4 linked regions of the Drosophila melanogaster genome follow. The protein of the gene in region 2 interacts with the protein of the main gene of each other region in a pairwise test. Each region holds a gene or a part of one and is shown on either strand. Other genes may lie near its edges. The genes, in order: Syx6, CG32450, CG14232 and CG12158.

Region 1 (5,065 bases), on a different chromosome or scaffold from region 2:
CGAATTTTGGGTTACTGCATATTTGGGGGTGATAATGGGTGGGTATGTTCACTTCACTGCGCACTGTCACTCACCAAAATAACTTTGAATGCCGCTTAGCCGAAGTAATTCAACAATTGAACATTTCTACCGGAATATCAGGAGATATATATATATACTATATGCCAACTGCTGGGAAAACTCCAGCTCCGCGGAAAAGGCAAACAACACTGAATGCCGAAACCCGAAAAACATCACATGGAAACGTGCCGCTCTGCCCGTGTGCTTATGCTGTGACCCAGTGGCGTAGTCCGGATTCCCCGTAGGGGTTATGTTTCAAGCCTTTCGAAGATACCCCTTTGGTTGCGCCACTGTGCGCAGACTGTAAGCTCGCCAAAAAGCTCCGGGCAAAAGCATGCAACACAGCTGAGTGAGTGGGCAAATCGAGTGGGCTGTCGAGTGGTTTTGGGGCGCAGAGAGAACATGAGAAGGGGCCTGATACCCTCTCCTTGTGCACAGAGAAAAATTTGGTATTAAATACCATTTTCCAAATCATTGATCTATCAGAAGATAACATCTTGACTAATCCTACTATCCTTAAAAACATTAAAAAATTTGAAAGCTTGTATTTCCAATTTTTGTTTAATTTAGGCTTTCAAAATAGCGAACAAATTTTTGTATATGTATACAATTTCTCTCTGTGCACTCATACAGTATTTCTAGGTGACCCGTAAGAAGTACCTCATTTGGCTTTAAATTAGGAATTTAATTTATAAGTATATATATTTACTCAATTGCATACAAGTTTTTGCTAGATTTGGTTAGTGAAATTTCCTAAGACTCTTCGTTAAATAACTCGTTTGATATTGGTAGGTCCATTTTGTTTGTATGTATATATATGCAGATATATCCTTCGATGTATATACAGCTTACAGTTGCAGTATCCTTTGGCCAAATTGGGAATGACAGAACTCTGGAGCACTTGGTTTATATGTAAGTAGTTAGTTATCTTTTATTACCCGCCTACATTGACTTTACATGATCATTTGTCCGTAGCTTTGGAATTACATTATATATATATAGAGAGAGGCGGCTGGTAATAAATCAGGTTAAAATGTTTCCGTGTATATACAGCAAGGGAGTTTACATGGAATTGTAATTAAGAGCCCGAATTCAAAAGCAAGCTAAGTCATAAATAAATCTAATTTACACTAAATATAAACGATTTGGGAACAACGAAAGCAATTACAAAATAATAAACAAAATTATCACAAACAATAACAGTCCGGATAGGATGAGAATGGCGGCCCACTGTCGTTTATCTGTGAAAGAAGATGGATACAGTTAAGAATTAGGAATCAGAAGTCACAAAAGTATTCAATGGGTAATTTTGATTGTGGTTCACTGAAGCATTTACTCTTCATTAATATTTCAATCAAAATAGTCCTTGAATACCACAAGTGCCGCACCACTCACCATTATTCATGTGCAAGACTTTGGCAACTTTCTTCATGGTCGTATCCAACTTGGACTCCGTGGTATCGAACTCGTTCCCAAAGTCGTCTAGCATGACGGCCTGCTCATCGAGCTCAACGCCAATTTGCCGCGAGACCGTCTTGAGGGTACCAATCGAATCGCTGATCATGTCTAGCTGCTCATCCTGTCCCTGGATCATACGCTGCTGTATGGACACTGTTTCGCCCACGTACCTATGACTCGGACTGTCCATGCCGCCGTGATGCGTCTGCCCATAGTGACTGGGACTGTCCAGGGCGTTCTCCAGCTTGGAGTACTTGGTGCCGCTGTGGCGGGATGCTGCTGCCGCTGCCGCCGACATGGTCCCAGCTATGGTATTGGCCACCTGACTGCCGCTATTGATCAGCGAGTTGCCGTTGGGACACTCCACGAGGTACGTGCGATCGTTGTGTGGATGCTGATGGTACTCGTTGGAGTTGGAATTCGAATTGGGTATGGCAATGGAATGATTGTGATTGGGGCTGTGGCGATCGTTGTCGAGCAGCGGCTGGTGTGCGGTGATGTCTCTGTCCCGGCTCCGGTTCAGGCTCATCTTATCCTTCATCTGCTTGACCTCATCGCGAGTGTTGTCGATGAAGTGGCGCCGGCTGGAGAGTTCGCGGTTGTCGATCCGAAACTTGCTTGGATTCTTCTCAACGATGCGTGTGAGTCAAAATGGTATGGGTTAAGGAGAAAACCGAGGAGACTGATGAGCTAGAAAGTCGGTTCTACCGACCTTAAGATACCAAGTACTCTTTTTTTACAATTATAGTGCCAAAAAAACAAGTTCTGTACAGTTTATTAGTATAATACTAATAAACGAGCGAATTAAATCACGAATAAATTGCATATTCAGCAATTTTAAATGGGATCTCAACCTCTTTATGCGAAAATAAAACAGACAATGCAATTCGATAAATGAGTACCAGGTAACGAATTGATTTTTCAATGGTCTTTGCAAAAGGATATTGATAGTGTCCTCGAGGTCCTCGAGATCCCACTCGATGCTCCGTAGCGAGTTACGCAGCTCGGTGGTGGTCCATTCAGCCTCCGTTCCGCCGTTCTCGCCCAGCTCCCGCCAACGCAGATAGAGGCCGCGGGTTTTGTTCAGAGCTTTGAATACCTCGCTGTTGGGGAAGGGGAGGGAAATGAAAGAAAAAACAGAGATATAAGTAAGATAGCACTTTCCACCAGCAGTGCATGTGGCCATCTGCCAAATCGGGGACACCTACTCCTTGACCACGAAAAACGGATCCTCCAGAGACATGCCGCGTTCTCTTCTTGCCACAAAACGAAAACTAACACTCCTAGCAGTTTTTCACCAGCGTGGCGCACTTGACGGTTCTTTTCATGGATTTTTCCGGGCGAAAACCACCCCCCAAAGGTACAAGGGGGCAAATTGCAAGTTGGCAATAGCAAAAGCACTTCGTGGGAGTTACATCAAAAGGCAAGCAAATGGGGAGCAAATTTTTGCTTTCAATCCGTTCTATATAGCAGGAATTTCACAATCGACTGGGTTTTATCTTTCGCCTAGCAGCGATGTTTGAACAGCACGTTTATTGATTATTGCACTTGGACCCGCTCCGCCGCTTATCGCTCGATTTCTTGTGGATTCCGCCGACTTAGCTGGTTCCACCGATGGCCCAGAGAACACTGTCGCTATTTGCGCTCCAGAGATTAAGCCCCCACCGAGAACCACTACCCCACTGGCATTTGTTTACGCCGCTCCCGCTCCAGCGGCTGCGCACTTTGGTTCCTTGATTACCAACCCCTTGACTAACCGATTTGAAAACAACCCGAATTTTGGCCAAAAAATTCCACAACAACAAATCGTCGGCCAAATGGCCAGCACTGTTGCAATTTTCATCGCTCGCTCACCTGCTGCTCGTCTCCACGTCATTTAGCAAACTTCGGTCCGAGAACACGGTGACGGACTTTAATTTCAAGTTCACACGAGACAAATTCTGATAAATAAATTTAAGTAAAGGTTTTATTTCTGTTTTGCTGCTAGCAAAATAAACCGTAAGGCTTAGTATGACCCAAGTGCGATAGCACGTTTATCCCGCGATAATTTAGTATATATCGCAAGTGCAGAAAATACGTTACTAAACAGTTTGAATCAGGTGGCAGCTCTGGATTTGAATATATATTTATCCACATTCAGCTTGAGCAGCATAAACGAATATTTTGAAAACCTGCAACATTCGCATGAATTAAAGTTTACAAAATAGCACTATAAATAAGCTATTATTACTATTTCACATGAGAACGTTCGTAATAGAGTATTAAAATCATCTGAGTCAGGAAGTGTGACCAGGCGAGGGGCACAAAGCACTTAACTTCCGTTGTGCTACTGCCCCACTGACCACCGTTATCAATTTCATTTAGACCGCCGTCAAATAAGTTTGAAAAGTGCTGGCGAAATGTTGCAAAACAACGCGGTGCGCACTTTGCAATACGACAGTGAGATCCGTGTGGCCCAGCAGCCAAGTCTCTCAGAACCGAGAGGTAATTTAGGGCATATGGCTTTAGAAAACGAATAAAAACAGCGAGTGAATCACCCTGGCAAAAGGGTAACCGAATTGTTACCAACTGATAAGCAGTGCACCGGATTAATTATTGTTGCGAGCGAGTGTGTCACACAGTTCGACGCAAAAATGCGGCCACAAGTTGGCTATATCTTATCGGCCAGCGTTTTGTTATGGTCTGCGACTCCTCAAGTGCCTTTGTTTGGGACGATCGAACCCAGCGATCAATCCGATAGTAAAACCGTACCCATGATATTAGCTGTATCCTATACCAACATTTTCCTATTCCAAGAAAAGTAATAAAATATTTATGTGACAAGATTATGAAAAAATCGAAAAACTACTAAAGTTTTAATCTAAACGATTTGTTATAACCACAAAATATTTTCAATAATATTGCTATTACTCAGAGCTATTATTAGCAGAATGTTCAACAACCATTTTTATTTAATTCAAATTCACTGTAAAATTATGATCTTAAAACTACAACTTTAAATGAAATTTAAATTTAATTAAAATATTAAAAACTTTCAAAATTCAATCTATGGAAAAGTTTGTAATACCCTAAAGATATGGAAAAGGTTTATAAAATCTTAGTTCAAAGATAACAATATGGACAACCTTACGATTCTGCTCGTATTGGAAAATGGTCTATATACGATTTGTTTGTTTTTCTTCAGTTTATGACTCCCATATCAGCATTACCTCACAACCCAGGCCGGAGGCTCCACGCATCCCGCTGCCAGTGCCAATTGCCACGGTTACGGGAAGCCGGACGCTTATCCCACTTTCCGGATACGATTGCCTAGCAGATCTGCCGTCCGTACATATTGAACAGACCTTTGAGCTTAACGATGGTAAGTACAAGCCCAAAAATTAGCTAAAATCGCTTCTAATAGTTCGTCTTCCCTTTGCAGCCCTAACAGGCGTCTCCTCGGAGAATCGATATGTGGTGCGATCTCCACTGGGTGATGCCATTTTCGCGGCCAACGAGAGTTCCACAGAAAAAAATCGACTACTTTGGGGAGCTGGTCGACCCTTTC
Region 2 (3,897 bases):
AACCTGGGAGAGGCACAGGTTTCGAATAAATAAAATAGGACAAAAAAGTAAAAGGAAACTCGGATCATAGAAACCGAGAGGAGCAAGCAAAAATATTTGCACTGGCATTCCCATATTATTTCTGCTCTTGTTACTCCTGCTCCTGTTGCTGTGTTTGTTCTTGTTGCTGCTGCTGCTGTTGTTGTTGTTGTTGTTGCTGTTGTTGTTGTTGTTGTTGTTGTTGTTGTTGTTGGTATTATTGTTGCTGGGGGTCCAGAGCAAGGATTATAAATTATAACAGCCTCACACGGTTATTTATGTCATGTCAATGGGAAGGGGTGTCACACGGAAGGGGATATATCATCAATGCATGCGCTTAGTTGAGTGGAAATAGCTGCGAAATAAAACTATGCATTCGGGACTGGCTTTAAAGTGGAGCAGGCCGAGATGAAAGGGACTTAAATCGCAGCCAGCCCCAGGATCCCATCGCACCGCACCACAGCGCAGCGCGCTAAGCCAGAGATCTGCTTTGAAGCTTTTGATTTATTTGCTTGATGGCAAATCATTAATTTGCTTTGAGCCAGAGCAAAAAGAAAGCACGAAGCTTAGCATGCTTTTCAGCTGCTGTCAGATTTTCGGGCGACAAACAACCACCGCACGAGCAAAAAGGCAGCCGAAAGAAGCAAATTTAAATAAAACGCAAACCAACAAAATAATCCGACACATGCGCTGCCAAATGATTACCCAGGACTTGGCCCCAAAACCCCCACCTAATCCTATGTGCAATGTCTTTCCCTTCGCTCTGCGGGGTTCAGTGTGTTTTTGCAACATAAAAAACCAAACAATCACTTCATTTTATTGCGCCAAACGAGAAAGCCCAAAGCTGACACTTTTCCAGTCGCAAAAAAGGTCTCAATCATTAAACGGAATTGAAGGATCATATCGATTTTGTTGCTTAGAAGGGTACAAAGCCTGGTTGGATTCGAGAAGGTACTTTCCTCGATTCTCGATTTTAAGATCCCCAGTCATATCCGAGTGGGGATCCAACTGAGTGTTGATTTAATTAATCATCGGATCTATCGGTTTTGCGCAGCCAGTGGGCATTGCTGCTTTCACATCTCTTTGCTTTTGGTTCGGATGGATCAGTGGTTAATAGGAGGGGGTCAGAAATGTCCTTTCGCTTCCAGATTCCCTGCTTGTATTCCGGACCGTACTTGTCTTTCATACGCTGTTCAAGCTCGTACAATTTTAATGGTGTCCGTTTAGCCACTGTATGCTGCTCGAGGTCAGACTTGGTCAGAGGTCAGGGGCTATAGGTCCACGCACAAAACTTACCATACTCCGCACATATTTGTACACCCCATAGCCGATGCAGGCCAGAATTAAGGGAACTACCACAAACAGCCCCACGTTTAAACTATTCAGCTCGGGATCGCTGACCACGTGGGTGACATCGACGGTTTCCAGGGCAAAGGGTGGGTAAAAGAAGCGAATGATCTTATAAGTGGCATTGGCCAAAGTATGTTTTGGAAAAGGCTTCACGATGTCCACAAACCTCAACGACCAGTGCGAGTCCGGCGGCGGTACCGTTATATCCATATTTTTAAAAAAATGTATATAGAGAATGTTAAACCAAAAAAAACAGCAACGTCGAATTTTAGATTGTTCTAAAGCGACTTCTACTTGGTACTGGACAAGCAGCACTCTAAAAATGACTGATCCATCAAGGGCAACTCAATTAGGCCCGGTATTCGTGAAAACCCTTTAGCCAGACATAAATCATCGCCTACTTGGGAGCCCCGGAATGGCGTCATTGATTTATTAGCAGGACATACGCTCGAATCGATGCTGCTGGTGAAAAACTAGCGACAGAAGTGGCGGTGGAAAATGAAGCTAAAGTGGGAGCTGAGCAAAACCAGCCAAACCATCATCAGTCACCAGGCAAACAAACACGACGAGGACCCAAAGCGCAACGGCGTCATATACAAAAAGTGCTTGCATACATTACCCCGGAACCCATGAGCCGGAATAGATGTGGGGCGAAGGACCAGGGTCGCAGGACACGGTGTGCGCGGCAGAGGAAAGGACGCGTGCTTACTGCCAGAAACACGTACAAGAAATCATGAAATGTTGCCGCCATCATACCGAAAATTGTACGGGTAACGTGCAAGCAATCAAAGTACATGGAGGCAGGACTAGGCAGGACTCGACTCGAATCGACTGCGGCAACTAGAGCGCCTCGACATTGCCAAGGCCTGTGTGCTCCTCGAGCAGCGCCCACACGTCTGATTTTTACTACACACGTGTGCTGATGTGACGTCGACAGGATTGTGACTGCCTACTGACAACACTAGTGGGCCTTCTCCTTCTTTTGGCCTTCTGGGTCCTAGACTCCAACTGAGCATCTGGTTCAGACCAAGACCGAAACCGAAACCAGTCTGGCCGAAATGTAAAGTATAGTTGACGCAGACGTGCCAAGCTCGACGTGGCTGTCGTAGATGCTGCTTTTTGCTGTTTAAGTAAGCATGCAAATGTCACATGTAGACGGTAGTCGGTACTCGGTAGTTGGCGGTATCGGCAGGAGGGGATCAAGGGGAAGTGGGCGTGATAAGCACTCTCAGTTATGAAGGTGGGCATTGCTTGGTTTTCGGGCTCGCCGTTTCTTGCCCCTGCCACACATAAATGATGAGGTACACGTTGCCTCAGGCTGAATTTAGTGATTTCCCCGAGCATGTGGCATACTTTTTATGCGGCTCCTCCACGTGAGCATAAGGAGCTTCGGTTTATGGTTATTGATTCAGCCGAGCGGAGGTGGAGATAGTTTGAGTTATGGCCTCGGTCTGATTTGTGTCAGCAGGAAGTTTAAAAGAAATTGTTGCGCACTTTCGGGAGGCCAAAAGTGGATTACTCAGAGGGTTGCAGGCAGGTCCCCTGATTGAATTGGCTTAGCTGGGGGCGTACGGAACGAGATTGGATTGGATGGGGATGGGGACTTGCAATCAAAAGCCTAGTTTGTTGCTGCCTTCGCCAACCTCATCGTATTGGCAAAAGGTGGCAACCCTCGATCCACTCATTGTTCGATCAAAAATTCATGGCATACCCGTACGTTGGAGAGGTGCCAATAACTCGGCTGCTCCACTGACAATCGCCACTGTCTGTCTGCCCGTACGCAATTTACAATTACCGCACGCACACACAATTTATTTTGCAGCGCTAACAAATAAGCTAAACATTTTCGTGGCCAAGGGCCGTCCCGCTCCCAGGTGTATAGCAAATCAAAAAATCAGACAGGGCTGGGCACGAAGACACGCCAGGCAATCAGTTAAATGTTTGTTGAACTCACCAGCGTCGAGGTCCTTAAGTTCTCAAGAACGCACGACTCGCCGGTTTCGAGGAGTCCCAGGGGCTTCGCTTCTCCGCTCTCGATGCGCTCCTGCCCTTTTCCGAAAATTGAACTTGTTGGCGCCCAGAACGCAGAGCCCCGAAACCGCACCGAACAAAAAAGACGGAGAAGCAGCTCCGCAGAACGATGAAGCGGCAACTTGAAAAATCGCTTGTCGCACTGCAAGCGAAGTGACGGGGAACGCTCACGCGCAGTCGTAGTGATTTGGCTTTAAAAAAGCAAGGAACATTCCGGAGTTCCGGGGCAGGAAGCAGACAGCAAAAGACGCTATGAAAGCTGCCACGTAATGAAACTGACAATTTAACTCACAGTCAACCAGTTGTTTTGGATTTCAGTACGGGTTCGACGGGGAGCTGTGTGCGTGCTGAAAAATCGTGTTATCGATTTAATGCGTTACGATATATAAGTATATACAACCCTAGTGTGTGTGCAGATTGAAGGGTTGGGCTGGGTTGGTTTGGTTTCGATTCGGAAAAAGGGTTGCTTGCCTTTGGCTTTGGCTTTTATCGCTCGCC
Region 3 (5,226 bases), on a different chromosome or scaffold from region 2:
TCCATGCGGGCCTGCAGCGCGTGCGCCTCCATGTGGTGAACGGGCAGCAGGGGCTTCTGCAGGCGACGGGCCAGGTGCCGTGCAAAGCGCACGCCCACCAGCAAACTCAGCGGCAGTCCGGGACGCGTGGTCACCGCGATGGCCGTCAGTTGGTCCGGCTTCAATTGCGCCGCCTCCATGCAGCGCTGGTAGGCGGACTCGATGCGGGCGCGGTGAAGGTCCTGGGCCCTGGGCGGAATAATGCCTCCATAGCTGCAATCGATTCAGTTCATCATTGGGCACCGCATGCGGAGATGTGAGCACTCACCGGGTGTGGAACTCCTGTTGCGACTCCAGCACATTGGCAATCACTCGGCCCGTGGTGTCCACGATGGCGATGCCCGTGTCGTCGCAGGAGGTCTCGATGCCCAGGACATAGCTGAGCCGGCGCCTGATCCCACAGCCAAATACATTTGCTATTCCATTGCCGGCAAAATTACGAAGTGCATGCATAATGGCCAGTGTGACCAGGCACCGATAGAAACCACAACCAGCAAATCGTGGGACCGTTAGTGTTAGGGCCCCTTACACGAGCCAAATTCTTAACTATACTTTAATGCAATTTTTATTTAATATAAAATAATAATAATAGTTGTTTCAATGCCCAAAATTGGTAATAGCAATTGTGTCGTATGAAGAAGTTTCCTAAGTGAATTTTACGAATAATTTATTCTTCATTAAGAAGCAAAGAGATTTCGAAAAGTGATTATTTACAGTTGTCTTTATATTGTTTATTAGTTTCAAATTGAATTTTGGACTTGTCTTCGTCGGTTACAACTAAATAATAAATAATATTGGTTTAGTCTGAAATCGGCATGGTCTTTTCCCGCCGCTTGTTTCCCGGAATTGCAGCAACGCACACGTAAAACCAAAACCTCACGCACACGCACATACAGATTATTCCGGACTTGCACATTAGCCGTTCGTACGGAGATAGGATTCATCTAAGTTAGTGGTAAGTAAATACATTTTGGCCTCTTAACGCTCGTAGTAGACGCGGTAGTACAGCGTCTTATTGCGCCAGATGCTGTAGCTGTTGTCGAACTTCAGCAAATAGACGCCCTCGCCCGGATAGGAGTGGGAGCCCACGTAGACCTCGTTGTAGCACTCCCGTCGATAGATCGGTACGATAATGGAAATGGGTGCCTTGGGGGCAGCAGTCGGGTTGTTAACTGCGCCGCGCTCCTGCGACAGCGAGCCGGACTCCAGGTCCTCGGTGGTGGATAGGTAGTCCTCGTCCACGCAATCCTCGTCCTCGTCGGAGTCGCTCACATGCACGGTCACCTCGTTGGTCACGGGCTTGGCCCACTCGAAGTAGATGCCGAAGCCGATGTCGTAGCTGTCCGTGGCGAACTCCCAGAAGATGCACTTGCCGTTCATGTTGGTGGGCACACGGACCTGCAAAATTGTGCCGGTCAATATGGGCCTTGTTTCGTCATTAGTTGATTGCCACCTACCGTCACCGTGTCGCCGTGTCCAATGGTGATGACGCCGTCCCCATCGCCGGCGGACACCTCAGTCTTAAACTGCTCGATGTCGGGACGAGTCCAGATCTTGGCCGGGCAGATCATAACGTAGTCGTCGTACTCTTCCTCGCCGTGCTGTTCCTGCCCAACGCCCTCCAACGTCTGCTCTACATGCCCGTCTTGCTGCTCGGCCAGCTGCTGGTGCTGCTGTGTCTCGACCTCACCGAGCTTCAGTCCCTCCATGGCGTTGGGCAAGTCGGTTGAGCTGTTGTTGTTATTGCCAGGGACGTGTTCTGCTTCCTGGTGTCCCTTGTCCTCCGTGTTCTGATTCTGATTCTGGTTCTGGTTCTGCAGATGAAGCTGTTGCATGTACTGGTGATAGTGCTCCCGCTGCAGCTGGTGGATAAGCACGGCCTGCTGTTCGGGGTTTCCGGGGAACTGCTTCTCAGCGTACAGCTGTGGAACGAGTGTAAGCGTTAGAAGGGCCAAGTTAATGGTACAGGAGCTGGCATGCAATTGCCTGAGAACTGGGTCATGACCCCTTTTCAATGGCAGACAGCGCAGCCAAGGCCGAGCACCCAGTAATTATCATGCATTATTTAGCACAACAACAGGTGCAGAGGGCCGGGCCGGTGTGTTGTTGAAAAAATCGATGGGCTACCTTAAACTGCTGGTAAGTCTGCTTGTTGAGTGCGTCCTGCAGCTGGCGGCGCTGCAGCTCCTCCTTGTAACCCTCCTCGAGCAGCTCCTGCTGGGCGTTCTCCTGCCGCTCGCGTGCCTCCTTCTTCTCCTCCATGAGGCGCAGCTCCTTGCGCAGCGTCTCGTCGCGGTCCTGCCGCACGGCCTCAATGTACGGCCGAAAGGCGCTGCACATTGTGTCCAGCAGGTCGACGAACCCCTCCATCGCCTGCTCGCGCGTTATCTCACCGAGCAGCTGCCAGTGCTGCTGCCGGTCGCGTCCGATCACGTCCAGGACGCCCAGCGCCGGGGCGCGACTCGTGTTGAAGGGGCCCAGCGCCGCCTGCTGCTTGAAGGCGATCAGCTTGAGGTTGTCCTCGTACGACAAGTGGATGGCCTTGCCGGAGTTCCCTGCAATATGTGAGATTAGCCGTTATTGGTGCGCTAGTGCCGGGATCTCTGCTCTTACGCTTGTAGAACGTGAATGCCAGGCGGTAGAGCTCAATCAAAGGGAAGCCCCACTTCTCGGCCGATGATGGTGCCATGTCCGTCGACTGGGCCGTTTCACTGCTGCTTGTGCCGCTTGTCCCGCTCGCCATGCTGCCGTTGTTTGTGGGCTAGTCCACGATTGCTGGCCTGCAAACTTTTCGCACAAAACAAAACAAAATAATAGAATTTATTGTGACGTCTGCTGCCAGTGTGACCAGCCAGCTGCGCACCTAAAGTAATTGTATTGCTCGCCTTGCAACACTGACCGATGGGGATTATTTTTGTCTAACTTAATGTATTTGCCTATTTACAAAGTTGCTAAATAAATTTGAAAGCTGGTTTAGTGTTGCTTGGACTTGTTAAAAACCTGTATAAAGCAATTGGGAATTGGAATTGTGGCTATATTTAAGTGTAAGTTTTTATCTGCCCGCGGTCACACTGGCCCACAGCAATTCTTGCCGGGATTTGGATTCTACACGTGCATTGCAAGCGTAAACATAATATGGGCAGCACTCGGTTCTTCCTGGCGGATCTGCCGACCAGGACCTCGGAGTCGGACCTGCAGATCCTGTTCCAGGACTACGGTCACGTAGAGCACGTGGATCTGAAGCGCAAGGAGCAGGATGGGGCCACTAAGGTGATTGCCTTCGTCACCGTGCAGACGGATGATGCCCAGTACTGTAAGTTATCCGCGGAAGATCACAGCCAGACGGAAGGAGTAACCATAGCTTGGTTTTGTAGGCGTCAACGAGCTCAAATGGCAGAAGTTGCACGGCGAAAAGCTAAGAGTTTCTCTTGCCAAAGAATCGTTTTTGGATCGACTGAAGCGCGAACGCGAAGAGAACCAGCGCCGGGAACAGGGCGAGCCAGACGAGTCCGAGGTGCGTGCGCCGAGCTCTCAGCTCCTGGTGCAAAGTGGCCAAAACAAGCGCAGGGTATTCGGAGAGGATGAGGAGATTGGTGATGATGAGGTCGCTCCAGAGCTGCTGATTACCAAGAAGCGCGCCGCCAATTCCATGCACAATGGCCGGGTATGCACGCACTCATTGTTCCCAAGCTCATTGTCAGCTAAATTCCTTTCCTTTCCTTTCCCACAGATTGTCATCCAGCAGGAGCACGACGTGAAGCCACTCCATGTCATCGAACAGCACCGCAAGGCAGCCAAACAGAAGCCGGACGCCAATGTCAGCCAGGCGGAACAGAAGCGCAAGGAGTCGCTCAACAAGATGCGTCAGGGACACCAACAAAAGAAGTCAGCCATCCAGCAGGCGCTATCTGTGATATCAGTCGAAGGCAGTCAGGCAAAGAGAATAAAATTCAGCGACGCCGAGGAGGAGGAGGCGTCCAAGCCCGTCCAGAAAGCCAAGATACAAAAGCGGGATCTGTTCGAGAACGACGACGATGAGGAAGAGGAGCAGATCGTCCTGCCGCAGCATAAGGGCAAGAAGGGCGAGCGTCTGGTGGAGATGCAGAGCAAACAGAGTATAGATCCCCGCTTCCGCATCACATCGAACTTTGTGAACGAGGAGGAAGAGGCGGAGCTGGAGGATCAGCCTGAGCCGGAGGAGAGTGAGCGCAAATGGCACATGAACATTCTGGAGCAGGTTGTGGGACACGCGATCACCAGTGCGAACGATAAGGACGGTAAGTCGCCAAAGAACAAAAAGATGCTGCGCTTCGATCCGGCCAAGGAGGGCCATCAGAAGCTAATGCGCCAAAAGCAGCCCAAGGAGGAGGAGGAGAAGAAGGAGGAGACTTCCAGTACGAAAGCCAAGACCGCCGACGCGGGCAACAGTCAAGCTTCAGCCGTCTCGAAGACGGCCTTTTACATTGTCACCGACACGTTGAGGGATTCGCTGAACACGCGTGGAGAGGGTTTCAGCCTGCTGGACATGTTCGGCAGTGCACCGGAGAAGGAGGTGGCCAAGCGCCAGGACCAGTTGGAGAAGCTGGGCCATGAGAAGATCCTGGTGGGCAAGACGTCTGCCAATAAGCTCGGACTGGCCACTCTCAATCCGTTCTCCTACGACTCGTCCGACAGCGAAGACGAAACCGAAGTAAAGCCGAAGCAAGAGCAGGAGCAGGAGCAGGAGCTTGAGGTCAGCAAGGAGAACAAGGCCCAGCCAGCGAAGAAGTCGGGTCAAAAGAGGAACAAAAACAAATTGGAGTCCTTCTTCATACCCAGAAACGATCCTCGTCTCAAGGGTAAGAACGTGAATCTGTGCGTATTTTTTCATTCTCAACAAGCGATCGTCTTTTCTTTGCAGAGGGCGCCAAGTTTTTCAAGTCCACGAAGGCGGTGGTTGACCATGCCGAATATGACCAAGTGAAGAACCGCCTGAAATTGCTGATCACCAAAAAGATCGCCAAGGCGAAGAAGAGCCTGCCCAGCAAGGATATCAAGCTGCAGCGGAATAAAAAGGGAAAAAACTGATCTAGGTTAAATTATACCCTTAGTCTTAAGCATAATCCTGTGTAAAATAAACCAATATTGTTCTTTTTTTTTTTTGTAAATGGTACATGTATTCATCTAGATTACAAAAAAAAAAAATGA
Region 4 (3,020 bases), on a different chromosome or scaffold from region 2:
ATGTCGGTTGGGAGGGGATTGGGTTCTCCGGCGACTTTGAACAGAGGGTTAGCTGCATCCAGACTCCGGCAGTCATAATGCAATTATGCACTGCCTGGCGGCACAGCTCCTTTGGTACGAGTAATAAGCATTTGCATTTTCACAGAATGTAGAACACAAGTCGCTGAAGAAGTTGCGCTTTGTAGGTTTCCATCGCTCCGAATAGCCCGGCATTGAAACCCCTTTGTAACCCCTTTCCTGGCTCATCAGCCGGAATGGACCTATGGCCATGTGCGCGGGGTTGAGGGGTGAGTTTCATGCTCATAATTTGTGCACTTTATTAATAAAGTTTTCCAAATTGGCTTGGCCCAGACGCAGTGCAAATACACAAAGCGAGGAGGAGAATGAATATACAAAAAAAGTGTATAACAATTGTAAAACAATATGGCTCTAAGAACTTGTGTAAAACATAACATTTTTTTTAGTCACATACATAAACAGAAACGCGGGCCTATATTTTCAACTGATAGTGGAAGTTTTCAGAGCCTTTAAGATGACAAATCTATTCAGTCATGTTATTTTCCCTTCGATTTCAATTTGCTTTAAGATTCTACCCTCGAATTTCTCTTTTCCCTTTGACCATTAATATCGAGCTTGCCTTTCTAAGCTTACGGGGTTCAAGAAACGAAGTTTTTAGTTTGCTGGGGAAAGTGTTTATTTAAGTAACTGGGAAAGTGGCGAGGAGGTGTGTGTCCCCCTCCAGAAATATCCCAGTTCTAGTTGTTCTGCCCGCTTTGTCCTTGTCCACTCTGCTGGTTGCCGTTTCCATTGCCATTTGGCGGTCTTGGCGGCTGTCCCTGCGAATGTCCATTTTGGCCCTGGGCGGCCACCTGCAGCGGCATTTGTGCCTGGAAAACCTCTGGTTAGGCCAAGTGGATGATTGAAAACCCTTCAACTCTTACCAAACCCACAGCCAGAATTAGAAGGAAGATGCTGAACAATGCGAACTGCTTCATGTTGAATTTGAAACTAGTAAACTAACAACACATGTGGTCTTTTATAGTCATACAGCACAACTGCGGTTCCCAAGAGATTATAATCCAGTGCAATTAACCATCGCAGTGAACAAAATGGCAAAATCAGTTTGTATGTTAATAATGCCATTCTGTATTATTTTGCTCGCTCGAATCTGATTTATAATGTCGTAATTGCGTGTGACCCGATCTGATCGCATATACAATATATTAAAACGACAAAATAACTCCAAAGGGGAGCCATCATTTTGCTGTTTAATTGGAAAAACAAATTTGAAAAAATTAGCCAGAATATCTCTCAAATGTCACTAAGGTCATCATATCATAGCTATAATTAACTAAAAATGTATAGATTGAGCTCTAAATTTAATAACATTTTGGACACGCCAAAACAAATACGTTTTGCGAAAAATTAACTTGGATGGTAAGAATTTATAAGTCAACATATAGCGATCTGATTCACACTCTGACTTCAAAAGCTATATTGATTATAAAATATTTGGGCGTTTTATCTTTGATAACATCAGAGCGTCATAAGCAGTTACTGAAAAATAACCACTAGGTGGAGCTCGTGTGCACTCACGGAAGCAGTCGGAGTAACAGGTATCTGATATTCGATACTTTTGACACTGTCTCTGGTTTTTTGTATCTTGTCTTGGTAAACTATTTTCCTAAAATATTCCAAGTGGCATATTAAATTTCCTTAGCCTCGCACTTTACGAAGCTTTCGAAATCAATTCATTTAGGCACTATTACATTTTCATAAAGTTTGTCTAGGCAGAGTAAACCGTCAATTATTCAAACTGGATTTCCTATTGCTGCTCGGTCTTTTAATTTGAGCGTATGCTCAAACAATCCAACACACCAGCCACCCATATGCCACCATTCTTTGACTGACACTACACGTTTTGAAAGAGATTCGCACACCACCCACCATCCACCTGCCATCCAACTGCCACCGCCCATTCACTTGCCCCTCGCCATCACCTTGGGGGCATGGTCGGGCAAAGCAATTTCGCTCGGCATTTTCGAGCGTTGAGTGGCAAAATGTCTTCGGTTTCAGCTTGAGATTAAATTCTGCCGAACGTTGGCCAAACAGAAACAAGACTTTCTAGTTTACACAACAACGATGGGTCCCGCCCGCCGATTCACCTGTCACCACCTATGGGCACATCGATGTTTGCAGACTGAAGGAAGTGCATATAGTTGAATTATTTAGTTACAATTGATACAAGTATAGGTAATTTCTAATGTTAAGTTGGGAGGCATTCTTGAAATTAATCTTCTAAGAACTCTATTACAATAATTTTGAAAAATTAAAATAAACTATAAGAAACATACATATGCGTATGATAGTAACAACAATGCAAGCAGTTGCAGAAATAATTTTTAAAAATATTATAAACGACTTTGTGCAGATTTCTTACTGTGTACTTGTGTGGGTTTTTTTCGGTTAATAAATGTCCCTGCCACAGCGAAATATGAATATTGAATATGCCCATAGTCGCGAACTGAGCGGCTGAATAAACCGCAAGCGAGTGGCGAACCCATAACGCCTTATAACCATTTCGGCACTTTTCAGGACGACGGAGGAATAGCCAAGGATTTGGATGGCCATATGGGGGAAGGAGGGCGGTAAATTCGGGTAGCAAGACGACACCAGCATACATTGTGGATGAGCACTAATGAAGTCTCAGCCCTCGTCCTTTACAGTTGGCTGCCTCATTGTTTGACTTTGACTTTGCCACTACCTTTCACTACCAACGGCCCCGCCCACTTTTCCACTTTGCACACTCACAATTGTTTGCACAGTCACTGCTTTGTCCTTTGACCCCCCCGCGCAAAGCACTCCGCCTCTGCCTCTGGCCAGCCTATTTATTTATGTTTATAATAGGATTTTTATCAAAACTTTTCCCCGAATTAATTTTGTAATGAGTATTTAAAAGACACTCGCATTTGGACAGGACACACACACACAAAGAGACCCGCAGCGCGGCATTCTGGTGT

The links.
Region 1: the proteins of CG32450 (region 2) and Syx6 interact in a two-hybrid assay, tested with the Drosophila melanogaster proteins (one large-scale study listed by BioGRID).
Region 3: the proteins of CG32450 (region 2) and CG14232 interact in a two-hybrid assay, tested with the Drosophila melanogaster proteins (one large-scale study listed by BioGRID).
Region 4: the proteins of CG32450 (region 2) and CG12158 interact in a two-hybrid assay, tested with the Drosophila melanogaster proteins (one large-scale study listed by BioGRID).

The regions. Positions count from the first base shown.
Region 1 is NT_033778.4:11,218,020-11,223,084, reverse strand, and holds Syx6 (syntaxin 6), read right to left. Parts: upstream 3,152-5,065; 5' UTR 2,762-3,151; coding exon of another isoform or gene 2,727-2,761; 5' UTR 2,705-2,726; coding exon 2,464-2,704; intron 2,158-2,463; coding exon 1,456-2,157; intron 1,302-1,455; coding exon 1,225-1,301; 3' UTR 747-1,224; downstream 1-746. Other genes in the region: CG9084 (uncharacterized protein), read left to right, coding at 3,918-4,002, 4,703-4,879, 4,922-5,065.
Region 2 is NT_037436.4:22,327,575-22,331,471, reverse strand, and holds CG32450 (uncharacterized protein), read right to left. Parts: upstream 1,695-3,897; 5' UTR 1,579-1,694; coding exon 1,315-1,578; intron 1,256-1,314; coding exon 1,043-1,255; 3' UTR 815-1,042; downstream 1-814.
Region 3 is NC_004354.4:19,701,237-19,706,462, forward strand, and holds CG14232 (uncharacterized protein), read right to left. Parts: upstream 3,024-5,226; 5' UTR 2,903-3,023; exon of another isoform or gene 2,827-2,902; 5' UTR 2,783-2,826; coding exon 2,653-2,782; intron 2,595-2,652; coding exon 2,167-2,594; intron 1,962-2,166; coding exon 1,497-1,961; intron 1,438-1,496; coding exon 1,018-1,437; 3' UTR 752-1,017; downstream 1-751. Other genes in the region: Tcs4 (Threonyl-carbamoyl synthesis 4), read right to left, coding at 1-252, 308-492; CG14230 (uncharacterized protein), read left to right, coding at 3,175-3,352, 3,414-3,703, 3,770-4,877, 4,940-5,106.
Region 4 is NT_033778.4:9,361,895-9,364,914, forward strand, and holds CG12158 (uncharacterized protein), read right to left. Parts: upstream 1,013-3,020; 5' UTR 996-1,012; coding exon 942-995; intron 888-941; coding exon 756-887; 3' UTR 680-755; downstream 1-679.